Linked DNA regions of Styela clava. The protein of the gene in region 2 purifies or fractionates together with the protein of the main gene of each other region. This does not show direct contact. Links are inferred from orthologs where the notes say so. Each region holds a gene or a part of one and is shown on either strand. Other genes may lie near its edges. The genes, in order: 7SK snRNA methylphosphate capping enzyme-like; spliceosome associated factor 3, U4/U6 recycling protein-like; speckle targeted PIP5K1A-regulated poly(A) polymerase-like.

Region 1 (7,318 bases), about 15 Mb from region 2:
GTCTATCAGTTTTCTATCCCTGAGCAAAGAAATAGTCAATTCCGCATATTCTGCTACAGATCCAAAGTACCACTAATACAATTTGAAAGATAGTCTGTTGTCTGTCTATTTCAAATCACTGAGATATAAGAAATGTTACATAAAAAACAACAAAGCTTATACAAATACATAAGTAGGGGTGGGCAAAATCAAATAGCTTTTTCGAATCAAACAATTCGAATATTTTTTTTTCGAATAACGAATATTTTTAATACACAATAGGAATCCAGAACGTCAGAGGTCCATACTCCCTTTTAAAATTAAATAATGTAAACATTGCAAATTCAATGACAACGTTGATTTTATACTGGTTAATTTTGACATAACCGCTGATTATATTTATCCCGTTTGATTTAACGACCGAAAACGTAAATTTGATAAGATATATTCCAGCCATTTCTCTTTTTAGTATTAATTCTTTTTATATTTTGAATATTTATACGATGTATATAATATTTATACGTGTGTTCATATTGATGACAGATTGAGGTGTTATTTCAGGACCTGATTAATTTTATTATGATCATTCGTGTCGGCTTTGACCTCCCTATCACTGTGCGTGATTGCCACCAGGTAAACTCATGTTGATAATAAATGAAGCACAACCGGTGTTAGCACAAAACGATGTAATTTGCCGACGTTTCGAATTTCTATACAGAAAAACTTCATCAGGGCATGATATCGAAAGGACACACTGTTTGTAAATTAACTGTCCTAGTTTTAAGATAACAATGTTATCATTATCGACACCGGATTGCAGATATTTATGAGGACGATAATTGACTGATGTATGCTTTTCTATGATGTCTGTCTTATTTTTGTATCAAATAGATAACTCTGCAAAGCTGTGATACTAGAATCCTGAATGTTGCTTTGATTTAAAATAGTAAATAATAGGGATTTCTATGTGGTCATTGGGCGAGATGAAGTTATTACCGGTAAGTGCTTTTGTGTCTATTGAGGGTTAAGATCATTATTACAGCTAAAATCGTTACCAAGAAATTCACAATTTTATTTACGAAATTTGAAAATTCAACAATTAACTAGCCTATTTCGATTAGGTCACGCCCTAAATATTACTGCACAAAAGCTTCAAAATGTAGAAATAATGTATCATTTACGATGATGATAGGCTGGGCGCAACAAGTCGTAAACGAGCCAATGGGCATTGTTACAAGAATATTCAAGATTCATTACATCGTCTCCTATTGTTTACAATTTTACCACCATGCATGGCCAAGTGAATGTTTACATTTTCAAAACATTACTTTGTAAGGGAGGAATAGATCACTGAAAATACATGCCAAGCTAATAGAAAGTCAATTTAGAGGGATATGGCCTTATCTAGGCTAGAAGTGATGCTTTTTAAAAATCTGAGTTGCCATTTTCAAATTGATGCTATTTATATAACTCACATCTTCTGATGACCTAAATTTCCTTTTCCGACATGCATGGTCTCTTGAGAATGTCATTTTAACATTTTATTAGCAAAATAAACGATTGAAAATGATACAATTGCGAAAAAAGAAAGCAAAAAACATCTCAACGCAAAGATATTGAATTTGTGATTATACAAATTTGTCGTTTCTGTCTGTTTGTGAAAGCCGTGGGTAAATTCTCGTACAATTCCAGGCCATCGATTTTGCAACATGAGAGTTCCTTGTCCCAAGCAAAGTGATGGTACACATGGTACATGAATAGTAAAGTGCCATTCGAACATCATAATATAAGATTTGCTATTTGAATACTTTGACCAGTCCTATACACACTTATGAAATATTTTTATTTCTTTATCTGATTGATATAAGCATGTTTATAAAAATTGTCTTACCCATATTAGAATGTTCATTAAAACTGTTCCTTCTCTTGCGTCTTCTTGCTCTACCTCTATTTCCCGCCTGATGAATTTGATTAACATTTTCCTCACTTTCAACAAATTCAGGGGCACTTGAAAAATTTATGCCATTGTCATTTTTCAGAAAGTCTTCTTCATTTGTGATAATGGTATCAGTATTGGACAATTGTAAAATGCACCTTCCTTCTGATGAAGGAGATAATGTTTGCACAGTTGCCATTGCTAATTGAAACGATCAGTCGTTTTATGAAGTTCTGTTATACCAGTATACAGAGTATTTTTGGATGCAGATCTAGAATATATTCTGATTAGGATGAGATGCACTAGTCAATAGTGTCTCTAAGTTCGCACAGTAAAGACAAATTTATGTTATTTGTCTAAAATGATGGTCTTTATTTTTGCAGACTGTAAATTCATTAATGAAGTTTGTGATACAAAATGATTCATGATGCATGTAATTGAAAGATAATGGATAGAAGCTAGAACCTGTAAAAAAACAATATTGAGCACTTTTATTTTTTGCTAGTTTGTTCTTAGTTCCCCGGAATTTCCCAGATGTGCATAGTCAAATAGGCCTATTAAATAATATCGAATTATATGCAACCCTTCCATGTTTTCAAACAATAAAATACCAAAAATGAATAAGAGCTGGATCATTTCAAATGGACTAACTAAAAAACATTTATGATTTTTATGGATCCTCCCTGGCTTTGTTCTTCATAGAATGACCATAGGCCTATATCTAAATTTATTAGACAGATATTTGATGAAAGTGAATGAAAATAAAAATAACAAGATTAATTTTTGATTAATTGAACTAGCAAACAGACATATAATTAAACTGTTTTCCACACATAATTTCTTATCAACTTAATAATTCCAATTTTTGCTATGTGATAGGTCAATGATGTGCCAAGCATTAAACTAACCTAAGCACCATTAACACATGTAAATCATTGCGAGGCAATATTCCTTGATTTGGCCATTGTTTACGTGATATTGCAATCGCATGATTGACGGCGCAATCGGCCAAACAGATGTGTGAAGTAAATCTCGTTCCAGTGTGGTCGTGACCAGGGCCACGCCCCTCCAATTCCTCTCTCGAAAATGTAAGCGCCTGATTACAGTTACAAATCGCCTATCTGATCTGTATTATGAAAAAAAAACTTATATAGAGAGCCCGAAGCGTATACTCACAATTATGGAACCGCTTGTGCAGATAAACCTCTCCATTGATACAACATTAATTAAACGAACGAAAACACTCCCTCAACTGCTAACGCTGACACAACCGAACGCACCCAGGCAACCCGCCGTAATGAGATGTTGAAGTCGTACATGCGTTTTTAACCGATGTATCACGTGACTACAGTCAGTCGAGCGAACGTAATCTCTACGTTTTGACGCGGCGACGTTTCCTTGACGTTTCAAAACCGATTTTAACTTGTTTGTTGGACACAAAATGGGCCAATGGATCGTTTTGTTATTATGATGTTGTTGGTAGTGTTCTTTTTTATGTTGTCCTAAATTTTCAGTGAGTTGAAGATTGTCGTTATCGCTAAAACACTATTACTTTTATTTATTTTATTTGAGTGAGCGAACACGTAATACTTCTTTTATCAATACCTTCCCACCTAAAATAACCTTACTTGAGTTTTCGTTTGCTTTCCCGATTCTATAATCAGTTTTATTTATTTAGTTTTTATCAATTATTTTATCGTCTATTGCTGATTATGGAGTCGGAATAAACTTATACTTACTTATATTTCTAAATGTACCGGTATTGTTAAATTACGGGGGTTGGGTGTAGTGTATTTCCATAGCGATCGACGGATAGGATTTACATACCGTGTTTCCCCGAAAATAAGACAGTGTCTTATTTCATTTTTTTTTGAAAAATAACACTAGGGCTTATTTTCGGGGGATATCGTTAATTTTCATTTATCAAAAACAAAATTTCAAAGTAGAAAATTACTATTTTTTTATTTCGTCAAAAAGCATAACATGTCGGTATAAGAAGGCAATGGTAACCTAAAATTTGCGCTTTCGCGTTAGCAAACTCATCCACCATCTTCGTCATATCAATTTGGGTCGAGCGTTCAGATTCAATACTCAGCAGCGCCAGTTCACAGAGCCTTTCCTGCGACATCGCGCTCCTGAGATAATTTTTTATTAATTTCTGTTTCGAAAACGAACTCTCGGCAGTTGAGGTAGTTACGGGCAACGTTAGAATGATCACCAAGGCTGTACAAATATCAGAAAAACTCAAATCTTTTCTCTTTGTTTGTTTTGTGTAATATGATACGAAAACCCCCCTTTTTTTCCGCTGTGTATTCTTCGGGAAAGGCCCTCGGGGTCGACACGGGCCTGCGTCTATTATAATTTTTTTGATTTGTGCGTTGATTTCAACGCCAATGAAGTTTCCCATGTCCGATGGATACTGGCATTGTGTCAGCTTCGTTAGCGAATCGTCATCTAAGAATTAAGTTTTGGTCGTTTTTACACCAAATTATGCAACTTTTTCAATTTGCTTCAAAAATCAGTAGCTTACCTGTGATAATTGTCGTGTAAGTTTTGGAAGAAAATTCATTCGCGCCGGCGCCATCACTTTGATCACTGAAAATTTCAAGGCAATTGATACTGTTATTAAACGACCCCAAAACGCTCCAAAGTTGCAAAATTTTGTTTATTAGCATGTTTATTAGCATCGAACCCTTTTCATCAGTAGCGCTTGCAGCAGCTTGCTCCAAAGCTGCGTTGGTGGGTGTCAATATTTTATTCAATATATCTTCATCATATTTATGCATTAAAAACGCTAAAATTGGCAATGGTATGTAATATCTATCAAACCTATACATTTAAACTTATGTACGGCATTTTTCGATTTTCTGTAATCTTCTTGTCATAAGTGTAACGTCATTATACCCTTTAGTAGCAGTTCAATACCTTGTTAAGGATACATACCGGTATATCCAGAGGCTCTTGTTGTACTCGTAAGACGTAAAAGATCTAACTAAAGTCTATAAAAAGGGTGAGACAAGTGATTTGGATATTGTTCTCGGTGACATCATAAAAGGTATTAATTTTGTTCAGTCGCATATTCCAAGAAGCACAGAATATTTTCAGAAATTAGCAAAGACATTAAAGCAAATGATTTGAGGCTTACGCCGAAGTGCGCTGGTTATCGAAAGGAAAAATTTTGAAATGAGTTTTCTCGATTGCGATCTGTCTGTTTTCCTAACCCAAATTAGACATTCGATGGCCGTTAGTTTTCAAGATATCTTTTGATCAGCAATATTTGAAATCACAATTCAGCTGTGTTTTATTTTTAAAACTAATAGCAAGATTCCGACTCATAAAATGAAATTGAAGTTGTAGCAATTATTTTATTTGTCTTTTAAAAAAACAATTAACAATAAAGTTGATAATCTTCGTCATCGTATAAAATATATATATCGAGGATTCGGAATAATAACAAAACGTCGGGGTCTGTGACGAAACGTGTAGATATAGACAGAGTTGATGAATCGTAATATTTTGTGAGAAAGCAATAGATCCTCTGAGAATTGGTGAGAATATTTCGAAATATTAATATTTATTTTGTCAATTTCAGCTCGGTGTTAAAATATTGTAGATTTCTCTGTTGATTCAAAAGTAAAATAATACAAAAGTTTGAAATAGAAAAACCATGTAATGAGTCTCAACTTTTGTGTGATTACTTATGAAGTTATGATTTTTGATATATTGAGTGATTATACATGTTTACCAATGAAAACGTTTGTTATTTTCTTTGCGGAGCAGAATGCTTCTCAAAATTGATGAGTGCATTTTTTGTTATAGGAAGTTGATATGGGTTTGTTTCTAAAGACAGTGCCGGAGTTCTACGTGTCAGTAACAAATCCAAAACAAAATTAATCATGAGGTCATCAAATATTTACTCAATGAAAAACAAACACTTCAGTAGGGTTGTGCCGGAAGTTTGCAAAAATTGCCTCTATCAAACTCGAAATCAGAAATCAATCAATGCCAAGTTCTAAAACTTGCACAATTTAACACCTGCGACAGTGCTTAAAATAAATTCCAAAAAAAAAAAAAATTATTAGTCTTGCTTGGTTTATAAATGAAAATATACTTTTTCTTGGTACCAAACGTAGTTCTATGAAGAACATTTACAGGTGAATAGTTTAAAAATATACTCGACGTTTTGTACAAAGGAAATTTGAATGGAGGAGGGCATGTTTCACATGTTTTCTTATTTTAAGGTCCAATTATTTTGTTGTCTAAATACGACGATACTTATGTAACAATGTTTTATTCGGACGATGTGAACCGAAACAATTTCTCGACTTTTAGACTTTAGAAATTTGCTAGAATCATGGAACGATTTCGCGATTGATCGGAAGGGAAAAGTGTGATTCCTCGTCGGACGAGACGCCAACGGACAATCAATACCCCATTTTTAAGATCTTAACGACAGAAACAAATTATATAACATACTCATATAACTTTGTATTTTATTCAACCAAACAGTAATATAGGCAGAAAATGTCGAAATAACAAAATTTCCGGTAGACCGGCAGTAATCTGCGGTTGGGAATCACTGTTTTCTACGACACGGCAAGTCAAAGTTATTGCAAAAAATCTAAAAGACATTAGTAAGGTCCGGTTCGATTGAACAATGGGTGTTTTTGTTCCGTACTATGCTTCTTTTCTTGGGTTAAAAATAGATACAGTTCTCGGGTGATATTTTAATTTAGTTTTAAAGATAATGGGAAGCATGTCAAAAAAAATTTCACATTCATTCTATGTGACATTGTGGAATAACGTATTCAAGTGCTGTTTAATCCACATCCTCGCCGATTCGTTATCTGTGGCCCGCGTCACATTCGGAGAGTAATAAAAAAAACGCATTCCGTGTTGTTTTGTAATAAAATTAATCAGAAAATCTTTTGACATATTGTTACATCACTAATGTCATTAAACTGACTAGTGTTATGGCTAGCTGAGGTAACTAGCAAAGTTGAGTGATGCGCTTGGCAGTCTAAATTATTATCTGGCTTTCTATCTTTTTGGCCGGGAATATATGCTTACGATGTAGGCATCATAGAAAACTAAAAATAGAATGTAGATTCTATTAGCCTGGGATGGCTATGTCTGATAGCTATGTGTTTGCACAATAAAAGCATTCGTTTTGTATTGCACTGTTTACCTATTCTTGGCACTATTGTGGCCCGCGAACAATGCAAAAATGATTTTGTGACCCGCGGAGCCGACAACCTTGGACCACCCTGAACTAGAGTATACACGGTGATCTACAATATATTTTTAATGAGATAAATACCGCGAACATGATCGCTTCACGCAAAAAATAATTTCAACCTCAGTTCTCTAACTTATTTTATTTTTAAAAACAATCTGAATCAG
Region 2 (7,111 bases):
TTTTATATTATACCAATTATAAATCATGTTAATTTGTTGTAACTAATAATCATGTAACAGGAGTAATACGACACATATATATAAGACAAAATTTAAAACGATAGCGTCAAGAAAAAGCGTTCAATTTTATATCACACAAATAAAAAAAAAACGTACAGTTGAAAAGTTGTGAATCAGTACTTATTCAGAAAAGACTGGAAATACTTCTTGGAAAATAATTAAAAAATTGGAAATTTCATTCAGGTTTGCGTTAATATCATTCCAAATTCTCAAAGCCTGGTACTTTATGGAATTTTGGGCACGCGAGGATGAAAAGTAATAAAATCTTGGTTGCCTAAGTGAAGTAAAAACGTGATCGAAGCTTTAGTATAAATAAATGTGTAGTAAACCTGCGTAAAAAAGATTGAAACGTATAATATTTGATTTTTCTGTTTTGAACTAATCAGGCATTCAGTAATCACAACCATTGCGAAACAGGTTTTTACAAAGTGCCTGAACGTAATTTCCCTCTTACGAAATATGGTGTCATTTTGAACTGACGTCATTCATACATGACGTAAGTATCAGAGTCCAGAGGACACTCACGTTGCTGTTGCAAACACGCACAAGGTTCGTTTTCGTTTTATTCAATGTCATAGTGACTTGCTAGTTGTATGTTAATGTCGACTGCAAAATCCTCGTTTATTGAAAGCGGTCAGAGCAAGCAACAAAACGCCGAACTATTGAAAGAGTTTATAGACATCGGCGTGGAAATAGAAGAAGTAAGATCAGAGACTGAAAAAGAACTTCATCAGCAACGATTGGCAGATCTAAAACATCTTCTAACAGAAATTAAAGAGGATAATTGGAAATATAACACTCAGCCAGAAGTTTTGGGTTTACAAAGTGCGGACACATAGGATAAGTTGAACCAGATTACTTAGACTACCGATACCATTACAGCATTACCTGTACCAATTCAAAATGTCTGGAGAAAAGAAACAAATGACAGAGGCTGAAATATTGTCACAGCTTCCTGATGGAATTCAACCTCGTCAATTTATAAATCCCAGTATGCCCCAGTATACATCAGCTAATATATTTGATCAAGAAACGACTGCTCAGATGGTGTGGAGAAAGTTTAAAGAAAATCCTTTTATACCATTAGGACTGGGCGGAACAGTATTTTTCTTGACACGTGGTATCTTGAACATGGGGAATGCCAAAGTATCACAAAATATGATGAGGGGGCGTATACTTGCGCAGGGTTTCACTGTGATGGCTATTGTTGCAGGTATAGCCATTGAAGGAATTAGAGCTGACCGTAAACAACGAGAAAGCAATGAATAATGATAAATTATCTACAGATCAGATTTTTAATCTTGCCTTGAATTGAATTAAAAAAGTTTGACATACGGTCCGTACAGTCATAAGCTGTGCATGCCTAAGCTGCTGTGTCACCATTAAAGTAATTAATAAATTAAACTATTATCCATGCATTAAAAAAATGCATTTTACCATGAGACATGAACATCAATATATTGGCGGTGTAATTTTCATGTTTATAATAACAAAAGCATCGCTGTTTCAGGTATCTTGATTTCCTAACAATGTGCCAATGTCTGAAATAGTTATAACAATAATTTTCTTGATAATAAAAATGAAAAAGACGTTTAATGAATTTCATATGTACGAGTGATATTAAAAATAATAATTTTCAATTTAAAGTATTTTACTGCATTTTGGCTTTTTATTTCTGGTTTACTTGTAAGATGAATCGTAATATATCCATGCTTTCATTTTATCAATTGTATAATATGGATGTATTATGTTTAGGGGAACATATATTATGTCAAATTAATAATTAAATCTGGAAATGTGTTTTGATTTTAATCTGTCTAAATATAGATTAAATTTGTCTGTGACCAATGCTTATATTGGTTCTTTGAGAAGGTATGAGTGATAATAACTGTGATCATTTTTACTCTAACATTTGGTGCCAATTATTGCGGATTTTGTAGTGACACCCGAACTACATCCTGGTATTTTTTCTCGGTATATCTCAGAACAAACTGTCCATTTTATCAATACCTCTATAATAATAATTTTTAACTAATTTGTATCAAATTAGGTATAATTAGTTCCTATCTTGGCCCCCAAAATAAATGAAAATTTGCCTGACAGCAGTGTAATAATGACAACACTGCTAATATGAATGCACTCGATGGCTTTGACCAAAAAGGCGAAACTTGAACAAGCTGTGTTAAGGCATTGAGTGAAACGTATATTTTCCAAACTTCTTTGAAATGAATAGTGGAAATTGCTTCAAACTATGATTACCGGTAGTTATTATTGTTGTTAATTATTGTTGAAATACTTTTCTTCCAATTACAGATATATTTTATAAAAATAATGTCAGGCTTAGACGCTCTTGCTTCATATGATATATCTGATGAGGAAGATGAAGAAAAAAAAGTAGAAGAAAAACCAGAAAAAGAAGAGAAAACTCAAACATTAGAGCCCCAAGAGAAGACTAACGATAAACCGAAATCACCTTCACCTAAGGGGACTATCGAAGATCAAGAAGATATTTGGCAAGATCCAGATGAACATATCAATGATGATGATGATGAGGAAAAAGAGGAGGAAGATAAAGACTCAAATGATCCGGAAGATGCTATAAAAGATGTTGAGGATCTCTCGGTGATTCATGATGGGAGTGACGTGGATGAGGCAGAAGAAGATGGAGGAAAAGAAAGTAGTGAAGGGGAGGAAAATGATGATGTAAGCAATCTTGGTGATACATTAATGGCAAAAGCGAAGCGAAGAGCGAAACGAAAAAGTTCTGAGAGCGCTACCAATCTGGCAAAAAAACTCCGATCTGCTTCTGTTGATGAAGTAAGCATACCACCTGAGCCGGAAGGAAGATGTTCAAGCAGTTTACAGGATAAAATTACTAGATTTATGGAACGGAAAGTGACACATGGGGAGGACTTAAATCAAGCGATTCAGTCACGAAAAGATTTTCGCAATCCTAGTATTTATGATAAACTGATTCTATATTTAGGTATTGATGAATTAGGAACTAATTTTCCACCTCAGGACTATAATCCAAAACGATGGAGAAAAGTTCCTAAATATGACGAACTTGCAAGAGCTCAACGTGAAGATATGGCCAAGAGGGAGAAAGAGCGTAAAACTAAGGTTGAGTTTGTTACAGGAACAGTTAAAAAGCCATCTTCAACCTCAAGTCAAGGTGGTTCTGGGGATCCGGTAAAAAAATCAAAATGGGATCAGCAAGGTTCGAGAAGTTCCACAGAAAAAATTTTGACTCATAAAACAACTGTTATACCTGCTGTTGGGAATATTAAAAAACCCAAACCCTGATTTATTGTAGTTTACGTTACACCATGTTGTCTAATAAATGAATATAAACTGACACATATCCCCTGCCACCTAGTCGACCAAAATCACATCTTAATACCTCCTTTTGTTGGTATAGGGGACTTTGGTCGTAGGAGTGCAGCCTCTTGTAATTTTGCATATTTACTAAGGCAAATGTATCCATTCAAACATCAAAGCATTCAACTTATACCAGTACTCAATGATACTATATAATGATATAATCATTTTATCTTTACATTTGTTTTTTTGTAAAGTTGACGGTAATTTTTAATTCATTTTTTTGGCATTGAAATTTGTGATGTATTATGACAGGAATGATAAACAATTGTTATGGGAGGATATATATTCAAATTTATGTATTCGATAGGAAGAATTTTTTTTAAAACTACAATGTGTTATGTACAATATGTAATATTTTGTAACAGGAGGTTTATAGCAGACTATATTTACTGCACTAAATTAGGAATGCCAGAGGAAGTGAATTTGTTCAAAATTGGAAATAATTTTTGCTTGCAAATTGTGTTTCGGATTATTCGGATTATTCGAACTGCCTGTAAAAAATAATTCAATAAAAGCAATATTTTGTTGATCTTGAGTACAATATGGTATATTTTCTGATTTACAAAATAATCATACTTGTCGGTATTGGATTCTATGGTTAATATTTTTATTATTTTGCTTACAATATACTATTAAAAATTGCATCTTTTTGTTTTAGTCTTCTATATTCTTTGTTATAAAGTCTTAAAAATGGAGGTTGAGGAGAGAATGGAGGAGGAAGATAAAGAAGAAGATGAATTATCAAGTGATGAGGATGTTGAGGAAGAATCCTTGAAGGAAATTGAGGAATTGAATGAGAAAGTATTTCATTTGATTTTTATTCAACAAAATGTTATAGTATAGATCAGAGATGGCGAAGATTTTTGTACTGATTGGCTTACTCATTAGATTTTTATCATGAAAACGAAAAAGTGAGCCGTAGATTTAATCAATGTCTGCATCAATGAGGCACTTGACGTTTCATTTTTCATTACACATATTGATAGATTTAACTGAGGCGGTCTTATAGCAAATTTTTTCCTCATTTGAAATATGTTGAAACGTTTTTTTTTGCAATAATCCGTGACTTTGTGACCTGCGGGTCAGTGGTTTGTCATCCATGGGATAGATACTCTTGGTTTGTTTGTAATCTTTGGCCTTTCAACCCAATGTAAATAATCATGTATAGCACTGATATTGTAAGGTGCTTCAATTTTTTACCAATATACTCGTAATAAATATGGTTATAAACGCAGATTAGAAAAACATCAACATACAATAGGTGTCAGTAGTATCGAGAATAAAATAAGCTGTTGTCCACTTATGATTCGAAGCAATGTAAGATTTAGAATTGGCCCATTGTAAAGTTTTTATTTCTATTTGGTTATTTACCTTGTATTGTTTTTAGTTGTCCAGATCTCCATTCGACTATCATTCTCACATCACAATTATTAAACTTCTGAGAAAAACTGGAGAACTTGAAAAATTAAGAGATGCTCGTAATGTTATGGCAAAGATATTCCCACTAACTCAGGTAAGACTGAAATATTTGTAAATTGTATGAAAATTTACGGCGCCAGTATACTATGAGATCAATCGCTTTTTCTCCAACTTAAACCCCAGACTGTAACTCGATAGGCGACATAGGTGGATGATCTCATGATATAGCTGCACCAAAATTTCTTCTCAGTGGAACTAATTTATGTAAATTGTCATAGTTTATATCTGTGGTTTCCAACCTTTTCTCGATAAATTCCTCTTTTTGCCTATTTTGGACAACTTCATTCCTCCTTTACTATGCATAAAAACTATGATCGATTATTTGTGCAATCTTAATAGGTCTGAAATTAGAGCTACGGGCAACTGGCATGTTGGCTTTTGCACAGTTTATATATATAGTTTATAATAAATTCATTAATGGGTATTACAACAATACTAATTAACCAAATCGATTTTGTGAAATTACATCATATACAAAGTGATATTTTCTCCCTAAAATATCAAAATCCCCCCCCAAAGGGTAATTTTTCCTATAATATATTGTTAATTATCCTAGGCTCTCTGGTTGGAGTGGATTGAAGATGAAAAAAAATATGCGGAATCGGAAGAAGATCATAATAGAATTGTTGAATTATTTGAAAAAGCTGTCAAGGATTACATATGTGAGTTAAGCGACAATTTTAATTCAATTGTATAATATATTATAGGCAATATGTTAGGTATGTTCAATTAGAATACAACATACTTGTGTTGGCATTTGGTTTGACATAACTGGTTTATTTTTTTACTTTCCAAGATATTGGCAATTGGGAATATATTCAGTATTCCACATTCGTAAATATTATTTCAAAATGCACTTTGATAATACGATAATGGCCAACCCTGACCATACTGCATAAAGGTGAAATTTATTTAGAATTTTTGACTTCAGTTAATATTATTTTTTTATATTTTCATTTTATTAGGTCCAGAGGTATGGCTTGAATATGCTCAATATTCTATAAGATGGTTGGGTTCAGAAGATGGTTTGAATAGAATTCGTGATGTTATGGAAAGATCTATAACAGCCGTAGGCCTACATGTAACAGAAGGTGCTGCGTTATGGGAAATGTACAGAGAGTTTGAAAATGCAATGTTACAAAATTTACAGGTTGGTTATTACTTACCAGTATGGCACGCATTGAGATTAAAACCTAACATTTGTATTTTTTATAGCTTTCTTGAATGTAACCTGTTTATTCCAGTTTTCGGTTGACTCTGTATTGTAAAAAATCTATCAAGGCACATATGTTTCAAAATGTTTCTAACCAGTAATAGGTATGTAAAAGTTGCCTGCATACATAATGAGTCCAAATTACAGTATCAAATTTAATATAGAAACTATTTATATTCATGTATATATGAGAAATGTGTAATCTTCCTCTAACTAGTTTTTTGAACTCTATATTTCAAATCAACAGCCTGCTCCTGGAAGTGTATCGACAGCCGAACAACAAGAAAAAATCAAAAAACAATCGAATAAAATAAAAACTCTCTTCAAGCGACAACTCGCCATTCCCCTGCTAGGTAAGTACAATGGACCAATGGTAATACTGTTCTTGAACAAATTTATTTTATTTTATTTAAATAGCATAGATTGTAACTTGAAAGATAAACCATGGCTAACAATGACTTGTTGCTCTCACAGTGTTTCAAACCATCATTAAGGTTTATCGCATACAACAATCTGATTTTCAAAATTACCGATAAAGAATTTTAGCCTAGTCTATCACAGCTATTTATATACTAATTTTTTATTACTGCAATTAAATTAAAACTCCTAGGAAGACAGAGTAATCATTGAATTATCTGATTTATATTTAAGTTACCGAAACACAACTGAAAACTAATGAATAGAGTTCAAAAACGCGAAAACAAGGTAATGTTTAAGACCACGCTTGAAAATCTGTCTGAGTGAAAAAAGTGTCTGAGCGGAGGCGAAAAGGGAGCATTGTTACGTCACTTTTTTCATCTTGCTGATTGGCCAATGTCACGAAGTAAACAAGAAAGTCGATGCTCGGGGAAAGGTCCATTTGTCCAGTTTTTTTTTGTATGAGGCCTATTCACAGAATTTGCTTTATTAAACCATGCTCTATGCAAGCAACTTTATTAATATTTTTTGCCCTAGTAATACCCTAGTAATAAAAAT
Region 3 (7,272 bases), on a different chromosome or scaffold from region 2:
GAGACCTTTAGTCCATTTGCTTTCGATTTTCCACATTCCTTTTGAGCTCCTCACTTCTTCCCGGCTTCGCATTTCTTAGCCGTAGACTTCATAATGAATAAGGTTGATGCACTACTTCGCACTCCGTTTCGCAGCTGCCGCTGGAACAAAAATTAGAGGTACAACGTCTTGGGCCTTATCAACCAAAAAATTGTTCACTGGAACAATCCCATGACGGAGGAAAGCGTCGGCGTACATTCTGCGCAGAAACTTGGTATAAAAAACACGAATGGTTGTGTTACAGCGGGGACAAAAATGCACTTTTTTGTTTTTATTGCCTACTTTTTGCTACCGTTGGTGTAAATTTGGTTTTAGAGATCTTAAACATCTTTCCGAGCGTGCCAGGGATCATCAATCTTCTATGGAGCATCTGGACAATGCAGTAAAATACCGAACATTCGGAAATGTTAATATTGCAACACAGTTGGATGAAGGACGCGCGGTTTCTATTCGTCGGCACAACCGAAACGTCGAGAAAAACCGCCATGTTCTCGGTCGATTGATAGATGTTTTGAAGTTCATTGGTTGTCACGAGCTGTCCCTCCGTGGGCACGATGAACGGGCTGGCTCTTCTAATAGAGGGGTATTTTTGGATATGGTGGAATACACCGCATCCCTATATAGATACAGTATTGAGAGATCATCTTGATGCCGCAACTGTTTCGAAAGGGACATCTAAGGATATCCAAAATGATTTGCTCGACTCAATGTATAAAATTTATTTACAACATTTGGCTCTGGAAATTGAGAATTGCCAGTTCCTTTCGATTCAGTTTGACGAGACCACTTACATCACGTGCGTTTCCCAACTGGTTGTGATTTTTCGGTTTGTGAAAGATGGTAAACCTACCGAGAGATTTCACAGCTTTGTACCAATCGTTGATCGCACGGCTTGCGGGATATCGGCTGTACTGAAAGAAGTGTTACAGCCTTACAACGCGAAGTCAAAATTGATAGCTCAAACTTATGACGGCGCGGCAGTCATGAGTGGGTCGAAACATGGTGTTAAAGTTTATATAAAAGAAGATTTTCCTCATGCGCATTTTTTACATTGTTATGCACACCAATTTAACCTCGTTATTAAAAATATGTGTCTTGATACCCCTCTCGTCCGTATATTTTTTGCAAATGTCTCGGGGTTTTCTTCATTTTTTCCGTTTCGCTGAAGCGCTCTGACCTCCTTCGCCAGATATGTAGCCGCCGTCTCCCAGCTTGTGCACCAACACGTTGGAACTTCCAATCACGCGTGGTGCAGGGCGTGTCCGAAATTAGGTCTGAGCTCATTGAGTGTTTCAATGGCATTCAGAGCTCTCCGGTTTGGGACGAACGCTCTGTCAGGGAGGCGGCAGGTCTAAAGTAGAGATGTACCGATACCACTTTTGTCGCCGATACCGATACCGATCCGATACCAGCTAAAAAAGCCGATACCGATACGCCGATACTACAAAAAGGCCGATATTCCGATACCGATACTATGTAAATATTACTTAATTAGGTGTGCTGTGTAGGGCAGACGGGTTAAAACAATGGTCTTTGAGCGTTGTTCATAGTACACATTATTTCAGATCGAAAAATGATATATCACATAATATGAAATTAATGTTTGGTGTTTGCTTCAACTGATTAAGATACACTGTACAGTAACGCTAGTAATCTCGGTGTTCAATTAGAAAACTCATAAGCCGGGATGTCCAATTTGAATTTAATGTTAATATCGCGACCTTCGAATATCGTTATTCGTGTTTAAGAGAATATCGAATATCACCCACACATTCTAGAGCCGCCGTCCTACGTTCAAATTAAAAGCATTTTTCAAATATTTTATTTCGTGGCTAATCGTAATCGTCGACGCAATAAGTCAAAGCCAGCATGAAAGAATATCATTCAGCACCGACCAAAAGAAGGCCTACCTATAACCGTCGAGGATGTTTTTTTACTTTACTATTTTATATTATTATACAATTGCTATCATATATTTTGAGACAGTCTAGGACTCTAGGCGCTCTAGGGCTAGGCGGTCATGTCAATATATCTATAAAGAAATTATGTTGTTAAACAAAATTAATATCTGCGTAGAGGGATAATTGTGTCGGAATTTAGTTTATCGATGTCGTCGGACTAAATGACACTCGTACTTGACGACAAACAGTCAGAATTTATACCCGTGCCAAAAGTCCATGTGCCGTTAATAAGGACCCCAATTCCACTGTATGATTTAAAACTGGGCGCCTAATTGCTTTTTGTTATGTGCCGTGTTGATATATTTCTTCATAATTACTATGTAATATTAAAAATGTCAATATAAAAATTTGACGGCGAAAATAGCTAAAAATACGTGAATCATATTCTCTCGCGGGGGTAGGGACATGTATGGCTCATAGCTCACGATCTCTCCAGACAAAAAATAAAATAAAAAGTAGTATTCCAACTTATCTTTTAAAACATTCTGGACCATATCAAAAAGGTAAATATATCGGAAATATCGGCCTTAATCTAACCGATACCGATACATGGCCGATACCGATACCCGATACCGATACATCGGTACATCTCTAGTCTAAAGCGTCTGCTAGAAGATGGTGAGTTTTCATTTTTTCTCGCCTTTTTCTCCACAATATTCTATCACGTGGATGTATTATACGGCGCATTGCAGTCAAGGCTAATGGATGGAGCGTCTGTGCAGTCGTGTATTTCAGACTTCTGCGATGCTGTATCTCGTATCCGGGAAACAATAAAATACGACGACACATGGAGTGCTTCTTTACGCCGAGGGCAAACAACGCAGCGTTTGATTTTGTCTGCAAAGGAATGCTGTGACATTCTGGTGAATCAAATAGGCGATCGTCTGCGCACTGAACACCTTGCCGCGTTCTCTTTGATGAACCCCAAAAAATTTTCAAAATTTGCACGTAATTTCGCATCCATTTGTTGGCTACTGTCTCCAAATTTTACCCCATGATAAACGTGGGTAAATTGGAAAATGAATTGCGATGTATATACACCAATCAAACTTTTTTGAACATCACATCAACTTGCGCGCTCTATGGGTTCCTCATAGATAACACTCTGGTAACTACCTTTGCGGCGTCTGCAAAATTTCTGGACATCATTTGGACGACGCCTATTTCTTCCGCCGACGTAGAGCGAACATTCAGCACGCTGAAGCGTATTAAAACGTATCTCAGAAACACAATGAAGCAAGATAGATTAAATTCCTTGGATGTTTTATCCATTCACAGAGACGTTATTTCTGGGATGCATGACTTTAATCAGCGCGTTATTGAGCATTTTGCTTCCAAGAAACCGCGGCGTGTTGCATATATGTTCAAGCAGTAGAAGTATAGCAGCATATATATCTATGAGTGAGCGACGCATGTCCTTATCTTTGCATAACTTTCCTTTCTTCATAGTAACGTTTTAAACCTTATTTTAGGTTTTGTCTGCTTTCCCGAAGTTTCTGTTAATATGTCATTGTATTTATCTGGGTAAATATTGCCTTTCCTTTTGAAAGAGGTTTCAAAATAAACTATGTCTATATTTATTAATCCCTTGCCTTGGACCGGTTTTAAAGACACTTTCTTATCGTTAAAAATTGTCGCTTTTGCCGATTGGTTGTTACCGATAGAATGGTTTTTATACTCATAAAATGATGGGAGAACTTACAGCGCTCATCCTTGACTTGGGGTTACTTGGTCCCGCAGTAGCTTGCCCCGGTTATCAAAATGACCACGTGCCGCCACTGATGTTTGGTATTATATATGGCCAGTTCAAAACGTGCTGTTAGTATTCTGTCATGATGAATTCGAATCTATAAGGATTCTTCTTTTCTACCAATAGGTCGTTATGCCGGCTTCATTGGAGATTTTCGAGAAATACCTGCCCCGAATCGAGTCAATATTGAAATTCAGTCAATTTAAAACAACCCTTTAATACAATTTGGAATTTGAAATTGGGACTGTTACAGTAATTTTAGCGTGGTAATATATATTAAAAATATGAATAGTGTGATGACTAATTGTTTTACTTTAATTGCTATCGGTAAATCACTCAAAATATACACTTCCTAGCACAAAATGATTGGGAACATTTGATTTTACGTGTAGGAATTTTCTGCGATTCTGTCAGCTCCAATTTCGTGATTATCTGCTAACTTCACAGAGGTCTTCCACCAATAAGGACGAAGGATCACGATGGATGAAGATGTGAAAGGCAAGGGAATATTTTGCGACAAATGTGATGTTTACATTCCAAATGGTTAGTTCACTAGTACCATGTTATGTTAAAGATAAAACTAAAGCACACTAGAGAAGCACACTCAAGGGTGGGGTCTCGTGTAGTTTCGTACCTAACCCACTTCTAGTCGGCGTAGCATGACAATTTTTTTTTTTTTATATGTTAATCATAACCCCCATCTGATTACGCCATCCAAAAATTAAATCACTACGACATCACAATCACGTCATAGAGCTTGCCAAATATACGCACGATCGACCGAAATGGTATTGGCGCCGACGATAAAGAACTGACTGACGTTATCGGTCTCTCTCCTATTGGAATCGTTGCGACGAGAGAAATAACTGTTCGATTTCGGGTGCTCGTTTGCGCGTCTTGGATGGCAGTTCGTATAGTTTAACAGGCTCTATTACGTCACTGTGACGTCGTAATGACGTAATTTCTGGATTGTGCAGTCAGGTGGGGGTTAGGATTGATACATGAAAAAAATTGTCATGCTACGCCCACTAGAAGTATGTTAGGTAAGAAACTACATGAGACCCCAAGGGTGCTGTATCTACGCCTAAATTTTTATTTTATCATTATGTATTTGGTGTATTGTGTTGTCCCTATTTATATATATTGTCTTGTCTTATAAACTCCCTTGTGTAAACAGTTCTGTGTACTCCTCCCTTACCACTTTTGCCACACCAACCCATTGCCCCACCTTACACAATGGTCTGTATAAGGGACCATATCATATGCATTTAATCTAACATTTTTTGTTCTGTACTTGTCGAAAGGGGTGCATGTCGCACATTTGTGTTTTAGGCCAGTACGGTCTTGTGCATGCGCCCCGTCTCCAATATTAATATTGTCAATTTTTTATATTGCTTACTACTACGTCTACGAGACTAATAAACATACATACAAGTACGTTATAATATTTCTGTACATAGTCCCATCTTCTGGTCTTTCAAATTTTGGGTCTATTTAGTAAGTAGTTAAGTACCACAACAGCACAAGTACTTTTAGTAGGCTTGTCTTAACCATTATTGAATATGTTATTCCCAACCCCCACCTGACTACGTAATCCAAAAACTGTGTCACTATGACGTCAAAATCACAGCTCGAGCTGGCTTGTGCGCCGACAATAACAAACTCAACCTTCATATCATGATGGCTATAACGAGAGAAATAGCTTGCTCGACTACAGATAATCGTCTGCGCCTTATGCACAATCATCCTTATATTTTGGCGGGCCTTCTTACGTCACTATGAAGGAATAGGGATGTAATTTTCAGATGACGTAGTCAGATGGGGGGTGTGCAAAAATTGTTACGCCACGCCCACTGGAAGTTATTGTGATACAAAACTACACGAGACCCCATATTTATATCAACCAGGATTTGAATTCATCTTTTCATCAACAAATCCTGAAATCTCAATAAAAATCATTGATGGATCGAACTCTAATCATAAACCTGAACCATCACCTGAAACGAAACTAACCATGGAATTGCTTTTTTTTCAAGTCAACGAGAGATGCAACTTCATGCATCTGTAACAAATACCTCTAACTGGCTAACTAATCTCATTCCCAACATAGGCTGACATTATTTTAGTTTGTTTCCTATTTCTTTTCTTGTAGAAGCATCATTAGCTGGACATTTAAAAGGCAAAAAGCATGTTAAAAATATTGAAAGAATACAGAAATTGGAATCAGAGGCGAAAAGATCATTGTACATAACAGGATTCTCTACATGTCCTCAAGCAATAGAATTATCTCTTGCTGATTATTTCTCAAAATATGGATCAATTGCAAAGATAACAATGGATAAAAATAATGTAAGTTGGCAGTAATGTAGTTTTACTAAACCTTGGATAAATGAGAAACATCAGTGACCTCAAATTAAATTTGAAACGGTTAAGAGACCACTTTTATATAAGGTTCATATTCAGTTTGCTGACTTGAGTCCATTGTTTTTCATGCGTGGCCCATATTATGCAGGAATTTGATTTTTGACCGATTGAGGTGTTTTCTGGCCTTCATTTCAAACTAAAGTCTATTATGGACATGTCACTGTTAATATATATGGAGATACTGTTCTTGGGAATACTGCAAACTTCAATTCATCGTTGCTGAGGCTACCGAATTTATTGCGCCCTGAGTGCAAGATCTTTAACTTGTGATAACAGCATCGTTAAGTTAACACTTAGGCCTACTAGATTCTATCTGCCTGTGTTTCAGATATAGAACGATTTAGTTTTTGTGGTATTTTTACATTTTTTTTTTGTTTGACAATATTTCCCATTTCAGAATCGCTTTGCCATTCTCGAATTCAGTGAAGTTGATTCTGTGAAAAAAGTGTTGCAAGTAAAAGAACATTTTCTCGGATCAAAATCCATTATTGTTAAACCAAGGTTGGTGTGTAATTTCGTCTTCACCTCAGATAAATATCATTCTTTCATTCATATTATATTATTCACAAAAATGTAGCAGTTTTCATATTGATATAAGCTTTGAGATATTGAAAATTATAGTGTATTTTTCACACTAATAGACCAATGAACTATTTGTATATAAACCTCTATAGCCTTCACCCTTCAGTGTTCAGTCTATGAAACATAAGTTTTCTTTCTCTCCCTAGGCACCTAATATCTTTTCTAACACACTTTTTGCAGGGAAGTCAAGTTACCAACATCAAAAAGATCAAACTTTGAGCAACGTCACATTGTACATACACAGATGCATCCTGATGTTTGGAAAGCTCTTATGGATGCAGATGATGTCAGTTATCATTGTTTTAATAATATTCCAAATATGACTAAATTACTATTTATATCACAAAACAAGGACTAAGAATTGTACAGTCATATTTTATTAAACAATCAATTTCCTATTTTATTGCAAGTACTGGTCATGTATAAGTTATTGAATACTGTAACGTCTGATCATAACAGCGAAATTGTTTTGTAATTGATGTTCAAAATAATACTGTTTCTGGTTAATTTGATTCT

Evidence for each region.
Region 1: the proteins of spliceosome associated factor 3, U4/U6 recycling protein-like (region 2) and 7SK snRNA methylphosphate capping enzyme-like purify together in Homo sapiens (affinity purification with mass spectrometry; 6 studies listed by BioGRID and IntAct, counting the BioPlex papers as one, with this or other methods). This does not show direct contact. The link is inferred for Styela clava from reciprocal best matches to the Homo sapiens genes SART3 and MEPCE.
Region 3: the proteins of spliceosome associated factor 3, U4/U6 recycling protein-like (region 2) and speckle targeted PIP5K1A-regulated poly(A) polymerase-like purify together in Homo sapiens (co-immunoprecipitation; 4 studies listed by BioGRID and IntAct, counting the BioPlex papers as one, with this or other methods). This does not show direct contact. The link is inferred for Styela clava from reciprocal best matches to the Homo sapiens genes SART3 and TUT1.

The regions. Positions count from the first base shown.
Region 1 is NC_135252.1:268,435-275,752, forward strand, and holds the start of 7SK snRNA methylphosphate capping enzyme-like, read right to left. Parts: upstream 3,112-7,318; 5' UTR 3,092-3,111; intron 2,381-3,091; 5' UTR 2,115-2,380; coding exon 1,871-2,114; intron 1-1,870. UniProt on the Homo sapiens protein: S-adenosyl-L-methionine-dependent methyltransferase that adds a methylphosphate cap at the 5'-end of 7SK snRNA (7SK RNA), leading to stabilize it.
Region 2 is NC_135252.1:15,208,776-15,215,886, forward strand, and holds the start of spliceosome associated factor 3, U4/U6 recycling protein-like, read left to right. Parts: upstream 1-4,109; 5' UTR 4,110-4,134; coding exon 4,135-4,245; intron 4,246-4,831; coding exon 4,832-4,957; intron 4,958-5,479; coding exon 5,480-5,585; intron 5,586-5,888; coding exon 5,889-6,073; intron 6,074-6,383; coding exon 6,384-6,489; intron 6,490-7,111. Other genes in the region: HIG1 domain family member 2A, mitochondrial-like, read left to right, coding at 964-1,329; uncharacterized protein LOC120343445, read left to right, coding at 2,392-3,366. UniProt on the Homo sapiens protein: U6 snRNP-binding protein that functions as a recycling factor of the splicing machinery. Promotes the initial reassembly of U4 and U6 snRNPs following their ejection from the spliceosome during its maturation.
Region 3 is NC_135255.1:8,653,245-8,660,516, reverse strand, and holds the start of speckle targeted PIP5K1A-regulated poly(A) polymerase-like, read left to right. Parts: upstream 1-4,186; 5' UTR 4,187-4,229; coding exon 4,230-4,293; intron 4,294-5,902; coding exon 5,903-6,099; intron 6,100-6,571; coding exon 6,572-6,675; intron 6,676-6,936; coding exon 6,937-7,042; intron 7,043-7,272. UniProt on the Homo sapiens protein: Poly(A) polymerase that creates the 3'-poly(A) tail of specific pre-mRNAs. Localizes to nuclear speckles together with PIP5K1A and mediates polyadenylation of a select set of mRNAs, such as HMOX1.